2 linked regions of the Arabidopsis thaliana genome follow. The protein of the gene in region 2 interacts with the protein of the main gene of each other region in a pairwise test. Each region holds a gene or a part of one and is shown on either strand. Other genes may lie near its edges.

Region 1 (4,545 bases), on a different chromosome or scaffold from region 2:
GCGGAGTTTTACCGAATTCAGTGACATTTCTTGTTGTTATATCGGCTTGTGCACACGCAGGACTAGTTAAAGAAGGTAAGGAATGTTTTGGTATGATGAAGGAGAAGTATCGGTTGGTTCCTGGAACAGAGCATTACGTATGCTTCATCGATATCTTAAGCAAGGCTGGTGAGACAGAAGAGATATGGAGATTAGTCGAGAGAATGATGGAGAACGATAATCAAAGCATTCCTTGTGCTATATGGGTAGCGGTACTCAGTGCTTGTAGTCTTAATATGGATCTTACGCGAGGCGAATATGTAGCAAGGAGGCTTATGGAAGAGACGGGTCCAGAGAACGCGAGCATTTATGTGTTGGTTTCGAATTTCTATGCAGCGATGGGGAAGTGGGATGTCGTTGAAGAATTGAGAGGAAAACTGAAGAATAAAGGTTTGGTTAAAACAGCAGGACACAGCTTATTCATATGAATTGCTTTGTTTTTTCAGCATTACACTACACTTGAGCTACTGTTTTTGTGTCAAGAAACAGAGCAAGTCCACTAAAGTCTAAAGCATTGTTGTGGAACTGTCTCGTTGTCCTAATTAAGTCAAACACCAAAGAAGACATAGTCAAAAATAAAGTAGCATTGACCCACGAATAGTAGTAGGTGAAAGGGCAATGTCACATAAGGTTTAAGTTAAAGGAGTCGTTGGGATAAGGAGAAGAGAAGTCAAAAGATGTGTCCTTTTCAAAATCTATCCTTTCTTAAAAACATATCACCAGAGAGAATTGATCAAAACCACAAGAAATAATGATTAGAGCGCTGAGCACGAGGAAGGTTCGAGGCAGCTACAAGAAGCTCGGCGACGAAGAAGAAGCAGGCGCAGGGCTTTTAGAAGTGAAACCGGAGAGCGTTCCTACAAATCCCCATGGTCAATCCCCGAAGGTGAATAAACCGGTGGAGAAAACCAGGGGTTCGGCTCACCCTCTATTTAGTTTCTTCGAAATGAGTCTAAAGAGGAAGAAGAAGAAGAAGAGCACGACGACTGCAAAACCAGAATTCGCTAGGTACTTGGAGTATGTCAAGGAAGGAGGTGTTTGGGATAACACTTCAAATGGACCTGCCATATATTACAGATAGATCGGAGAAAGAGATTTCACAGAGGTTGTTTATATTTATTTTCGATTTGTGATATACCTTTCTATTTGAATAAGAAGGATGAATACATACATACATCAAAGTAGAAAGCTCGTCCATAAGCCATGATTCTGCTTCTTTGTGGACAAATCCATGTAATTTAAGTTTACAGTTTGATAGTAAGAAAAATTCTCGGTTTATTACTTGTTATCAGTAATCAGACTGGGTTTACAAATTTACGAATAAACACAGTGGGGCCCCTGATGACTACAAAAGCCTACCCGAAACACCAGGAGATGCCACGTCACTAAACATACAAAACCCCATCAAAACGCAGCCGTTCCGGTGATTCCCCAAAACCCAGCGTGATACGCGGTCGTTGCGAATGAAAGCCTTGGTGAAGAGGTTTAAATTAAGAGTTTGTTGCGACTAAAGCCTTGGAGAAGAGGTTTCTCTTTTTTCTCTCCTCCTCAGTATATATCTAATCTCTGTTTGCTCTTTTTTCGCACCATGTCATATCAATCTACCATCAATCGATCGTCTCTTCTTCCTCCGTCTGCGTTGATCTTTTCGTTTCGTCTTCTCCGATTGATGCTCTGTCGCGAGGTAACTATTTCTATCGAGTGATTTTGCTAGCTGCTGACTGTTCGATTTGATGATTAAGGTCTTGGTTCCGTGATAATCTCTGTTAAATTTAGTTTAGGCTACTTGATGTTGAATGATTAGTTTGATAATCTCGCACTCTATGGTTTGCTCCTTCCCGAAATTGAACTCTCAGATTGTTAGCTTGTTTGTATAGGTTATTAATTGCTTGACATTGATTTGGATTTTTGTTTATCCGTTATCGACTCTCTCGATGTTCATTACTTTATTAGTTGAACAACGCTCTCTCGCTGTTGTGTATCCCTATTGGTGGATTTCTAATTGAAATCTTCAATGATGCAGAGTCATGCCTACATTTTCTGCTGCCGCTTTGGGTAGATCACTAAATTCAGGGACGTCCTTATCTAGTAAATTTCCAAGCACACTGCAGTCAAAGCCGTCTATTTTGAATGATGAAAGTAAGCAACCTAAAGAAAAGACATTCACTCGTCCTCAGATGTCACCTTCTCTATATGCCACTACTAAAGAAATCCCTCATCCCAATTCGCCTTCTTCCTACCCTCCATCTCCCTATATCATCAATCACAAAGCTCGTGGGCCTGTTCTTTTCAATAGGGACTCTGAGGTGGATGGGCCTTCTCACCCGATAACCTCTGGTGAGGAAAAGATTAGTGGTAATGTAGATGTGGAGGCTACTGCCTCCTTGAGCAAGTCCACATCCCTATCATTTCCTATCACCGAGGCTATTGCGGTGGATCACACCAATGGTGTTCACACCCAAGGCATCCATGAACGTCCTGTTTGGGATTGCAGTCCCCCTCTTGGGACATTTTTGAACGAGAAGTCGGGAAGAGATATCAGCAATGGTGGGATTGGAAGTAATAATGCTACCAGTAATTTAGAATGGCAAAGTTACTTATTGGAGCCGGTAAGAATAAAAGCAGACAAGGAGCTTGAGCCTGAAAATTTCTATAACCCAGGTGAATTAGTAAGCTTCACAAGTAACACAGAGGTAGAAGATTTCGAGAGAGCTGAAAGCTCACACAGTCTTGCTACACATGTTGGAGAGTTTTATGATGCTTGCGATGGTACTGTTTCTTCCTACTAACTTTTTTAACCACGAGATAGCTAGAAAATTCTTATGATGTCTGACATTTCTAGCATCATCACTTTTTGCCAGTTCTTGGAGCCTCTTCTCCTTTAGTTTTAAGTGTTATATGCATATATCAGTATGTGATTTTGGTTGTGAAGTGGCCTTTTAGGCTTGGGATTCCTGTGTTTATAGTCATCTTGAATTCGTGATAGTTATGAATCAGATTTCCAAAGACATAGAAAATCTGCATGCATGATTCACTGGTATATCTAAGAAACTGGTTTTAATTTATTCAGTTACTGTTTCTTGGCTTCCAGAACTATCAACTGACAGTGGAATGCAGAGTTCAGCTAACAACATTGAATCTGAGGTAAGGGAGATGAGATTGGGTTTACTAATGGAAATCGAAAGGAGGAGGCAGGCAGAGGCGACTCTAGAGCAAATGCAAGTTCATTGGCGGAGGCTCCGTGACCAGTTGGCCGATGTGGGTATGTTCCTTCCTCTTGATCCCACCAGAAGCCAATACAGCATGAACCTAGCTGATGAGCTACGTTGTCAACTTGAGGTCACCAGGTTTGTCTCCGACACACTAGGCAGTGACTTGGCCAAGACAGAGGTAGAGATGGAGATGGAAGCTGAGCTCGAAGCTAAGAACTTTGAAATCACCCGGTTGTCTGACCGTCTTCATTATTACGAGACTGTGAACCAGGAAATGTCCCAGCGCAACCAAGAGGCCATAGGTAGAAGAAACTCAAGTTAAATTTACAAGAATGTCTTATCTTATTTTTCTTTATCTCAATGCTTCAACTCTCTTTGATATCAGAGGTGGCAAGGCGAGACGGGCAAAAGAGAAAGAGGAGGCAGAGGTGGATTTGGGGATCAATAGCTGCAACCATCACACTCGGGAGTGGAGTCTTGGCCTGGTCGTACCTTCCTCCCGGAATGTTATCATCAGATGAAGCTCAACCTCAGCTGTCTCCAAAAGATTCATAATGAGGTTGAATCAAAGCTTCAGGCCTTGTGAATAAAAATAGGAAAATGGGTTTTGTTTTAACCTTTTCTAGAGAATGTATAGAACATTCATGATGACGACATAACTCAGCTTCATACGATCAAGGTCATACCAATTTGGTTCTGTTTGTGTCGCTTATTGACTTGCAATGTTATTATTAGCCAGAAGTTCCGTGCCTGATTCTTGCTTTTGTTATGTTGGTTCTTAAATTTAACGAGGGGGGTAACTGGGTAAAGAAAAATAAAGGCGGTTGAAATGGGAATTATATTTAACAAGGGGTGTAAGTGGAAATAACAAATTCTGAAACGGCGTCGTATGAAGATCATATTTGGTTCCTTCGCTAATCACTAAAGAAAGCACCTGTGAGGAAAAACCAACCAGTGAGAGCTATCAATTTGAAAAACCAAGTCCAACAATGGCGGTCTCTCCGCATATTTCGCCTACTCTTTCCCGCTACAAATTCTTCTCTACTTCCGTTGTTGAAAACCCTAATTTCTCTCCGTATCGTATCTATAGTCGGCGGAGAGTTACCAAATCACATCTCCAGGCGCACAACAGTACCACTAGCTATGGCCGGACGGAACTCTCCTCCTCGAAGAAGCTATGGATTAGGCAACGAAGCTTCAGCGAAATGGAGGTTGAGCAAGCACAATTAGAAGATGATGAAGAACAAGTGGAGATCGATATCGTCGACGAAGCCAGTCTTCTCTCCCTGAGCAT
Region 2 (3,725 bases):
CCAGAGGGAAGATTCTGTAATGGATTTGAGGAAGTATTGGCTCGTTATAGAGAAATTGTACCTCAGCTTAAGCTCGCAGGTTTATTTCCTGCTCTGACCTGCACTGGCCAATTCTATATCTCCTTGTGAAACGCAAGTTATAAACTTAAAACTGTGTTTTTTTTTCCTGCGAACTTATGTATTTCAGGACCAACTTCTTTTGCCCCGATCATTGAAATGGCAATGACAGTGGTTGAGCAGAGTAGTGGCCAATATCATGTGTTAGTGATTATAGCTGATGGCCAGGTACTGATTAATATTTTGACTGCCTAAGCTGTGTATGATCTTCTGGTTTTGTGTCTAGGGATATCAAAGTGGACCCATTTTGTTGTTTCAGGTCACAAGAAGTGTCGATACCGAACACGGGCGGCTAAGTCCGCAAGAACAGAAGACAGTAGATGCAATTGTGAAAGCAAGGTGCGAATATTTCAATCTTTTGACTAATGTTTCTTCCATTTTAAAGTTCTTTACTTTGAGTGTAATGTTATAAAGTGTTATGGTATGTAATCAGTTTCATCCTCTCTATTACAGTACCCTTCCTTTGTCAATAGTCTTAGTTGGGGTCGGGGATGGACCATGGGACATGATGCAGGAATTTGATGATAACATACCTGCCCGAGCTTTCGATAACTTCCAGGTAAGCTTCTTTTTTTCATATCATGACATTGAAGATTGCTTCTTTTCTTCAGTTTGGAACCATTTTTCTAACATGTTTGCTCTGTTTCTAGTTTGTGAACTTCACAGAGATCATGTCAAAGAACAAAGACCAGTCTCGGAAGGAGACAGAGTTTGCGCTGTCTGCTCTCATGGAGATCCCTCCACAGTACAAAGCAACGATAGAGCTTAACCTTTTAGGGTAAGGGACCCAAATCAAAACTCTGATAGGTGTAGCTGCGAGAAACTGCTATATTGTTAAACAAAATGCTCACCTTTCTCTTTCCCTTACATTTTTGCAGGGTAAGAAATGGAAATATCCCACAGAGAATCCCACTTCCGCCACCGGTGCAGAGTGGATCATCATTCTCTAGTTCCCGGATACCGAATTTTGAACCGAGTGTACCTCCTTATCCATTTGAGAGCAAGCAAATGAGTAGTGCAGACGATATTCAGGTAATTAGTAGAAACTTAGGAATCTGTTTGAAATGTTAAGTGAAATAAGAGCTTTGGAACTTTTTGTTGTTAAACTCGTTTGTGTTATTTTCCCCTTGAACAGCTATGTCCGATATGTCTGAGCAACCCGAAAAACATGGCGTTTGGTTGTGGCCATCAGACTTGTTGTGAATGCGGACCAGATCTTAAAGTGTGTCCTATTTGTCGTGCGCCGATCCAGACCAGAATCAAGCTTTACTAACAACACCATTGACATGCAGCTTTGACCAGCCCAAATCCCATTTCTTCCAGAGATTTTCAGATCTTTCTGTAGAAAATTAAAGTGTTCTTTTGTTCTTTGATTGAATTCCTAAACTTTATCTTGTTCATAAAATTTCTTTGATTGGATTGTAAGAATTATGTATTTGTCTGTTGGCTTTCTTTGATTTTTCAAGATTCGATTAAACCAAAGTTGATTGCTTAAACACTTTAATTTTGATTTGTTTTGTCGACATAAGCAATGAGAAATAAATGGATGAATAGCCCAATAGAAGCCCATTAGCCTGAAATTGGGCTACAAGCAAACATACCAAATAAATAGTAGGGAAGAGCAGAAATAATCACACCACTCATCAGTTATCCATTCCTTTCTTTTTACATAAATTTTGTCACTTTTTCTACAAACGATTCTTCGCTTCTGTGAAATTTGATAAAGCGAAAGTTTTTTTCTTATGGATTCTCTTCGATTCAACCTCCAACAATCTCCATTTCAATTGAAACCTAGAATTCTCCGACCAAGAATCACCAACATATCAAACCGAATCGATGAAACCGATCCTCGACCATCATCCTCGGCCGGTAGGATCCAAAGGTTAGTACTTAACAACGAAGGTCGGACCAAACTAAACGCCGATCCTGACCGTGAATTCTATTCATATCCACGGTTCGTGAACCACGTAGATGATAGTTTCATATCCTCCTTAACCGAACTATACAGAAACCGGTTGAGACCCGGTTCGACTGTACTTGACTTGATGAGCTCATGGGTCAGCCATCTTCCAGAAGAAGTGAAGTACGAGAAAGTAGTAGGGCATGGTCTTAACGCACAGGAGCTTGCTCGTAACCCTAGACTCGATTACTTCTTCGTCAAGGATCTTAATGAAGATCAGAAGTTCGAGTTCGAAGACAAGTATTTCGACGCTGTTTTGTGTTCTGTTGGTGTACAGTATCTACAACAACCCGAAAAGGTACGTTACCGTAAACCAAAACCGATTTCGGTTATGTCAAGAAGATTCCTAAACCGGGTCTTTATTATATAAACCGCAGGTGTTTGCAGAAGTGTATAGAGTGTTGAAACCGGGAGGAGTGTTGATAGTGAGTTTTAGCAACCGGATGTTTTATGAGAAAGCAATTAGGGTTTGGCGTGATGGAACCGAATACAGTCGGATCCAATTGGTGGTTCAGTACTTTCAGTCTATTGAAGGGTTTACTCAGCCGGAGATCATCCGGCAACAGCCTGGAGCTCAGATATCGGTTTTGACTCGGCTTATGGGTTTTATCGGTTTAGCTTCTACGCCCGATCCTTTTAATGCTGTCATTGCTTATAAAAATTTCAAACCTATTTATGAGTAACACGCACATAAAAAAAAGTGTATAAGAATTGGATGGGAAGTTTTTGAAGAAAAGGAAAAAACCTCTCAACCAAGTCCAGCTGGAGAAACTTACAATACAAATTTTTAAAAAGTGGAGAATGAAATTACAGATTTCAATCAAATTGGAAGAACCTGTATTACACAAGAAATAATTGACAGAAAGATTACACACTTTGGAAAATATAATTAATATATAGTTTTCAATTAGCATGCATTGTATGTGATTCGTTTTGTTCGAAGATTCATGGACAATATCCAAGCAAGGTAGCCTTGTCCCTCTTCAAACGAGTATCACGAGTTGCTTACTTTATGGTTTAGATTCTATAATAACAGTATATATATTAGAAGGAAGTCTTTTATATTAAAACAAAAATCCATTGTATATGTACACTATCTATGTTCCATGCATGTGTCTTCTTAAATAGCTATGAAGTCCCTTATTTTACTATGTACATACTAAATTTAGTTATGTTTATCAGGATAACTCGTTGTACCATCAGTATATAAACTTTGAAATATTAAATGTTTCTCACTACTAGTATTAGACTGTTGCAGTTGCGTTAGAGACGTTTCATATTTAGAAATAATATTATCCAAGACCTGAAATTCTTATTATTATGAAAATTATGAAATATCGATAAGGGAAAAACTGTATGGAAGTGTAAAAGACACCAAAACAGATATTGAACCAAAGGTGAAGCAAAGAAGTTGATTCAAAGTTGCCACTTTATTTAACCTTTTGCACCAGTATATATACACACACATGGATACTAACCCAATCATTCATCACAACACATCAGATCCTTCACCATATATTTCTCTCAACCTCGCCAATATGGCCCAACGCTTTCAATTGAACTCACAAACCCTCCCAACGGCCGACCCTCTCAAAAGGGTCTCCCTTATTCCAAGATCCGCCGAGCAGAGGCTGGCTGATAACGCAGG

What was found.
Region 1: the proteins of AT3G01660 (region 2) and AT5G66480 interact in a two-hybrid assay, tested with the Arabidopsis thaliana proteins (one large-scale study listed by BioGRID).

Annotation. Positions count from the first base shown.
Region 1 is NC_003076.8:26,543,998-26,548,542, reverse strand, and holds AT5G66480 (bacteriophage N4 adsorption B protein), read left to right. Parts: upstream 1-1,542; 5' UTR 1,543-1,723; intron 1,724-2,062; 5' UTR 2,063-2,066; coding exon 2,067-2,808; intron 2,809-3,130; coding exon 3,131-3,553; intron 3,554-3,636; coding exon 3,637-3,806; 3' UTR 3,807-4,002; downstream 4,003-4,545. Other genes in the region: AT5G66500 (Tetratricopeptide repeat (TPR)-like superfamily protein), read left to right, coding at 1-467; AT5G66490 (uncharacterized protein), read left to right, coding at 791-1,120; AT5G66470 (GTP-binding protein Era-like protein), read left to right, coding at 4,241-4,545.
Region 2 is NC_003074.8:243,673-247,397, forward strand, and holds AT3G01660 (S-adenosyl-L-methionine-dependent methyltransferases superfamily protein), read left to right. Parts: upstream 1-1,743; 5' UTR 1,744-1,859; coding exon 1,860-2,375; intron 2,376-2,454; coding exon 2,455-2,760; 3' UTR 2,761-3,182; downstream 3,183-3,725. Other genes in the region: RGLG1 (RING domain ligase1), read left to right, coding at 1-79, 188-285, 377-456, 571-676, 768-895, 996-1,149, 1,253-1,390; SEOa (sieve element occlusion protein), read left to right, coding at 3,544-3,725.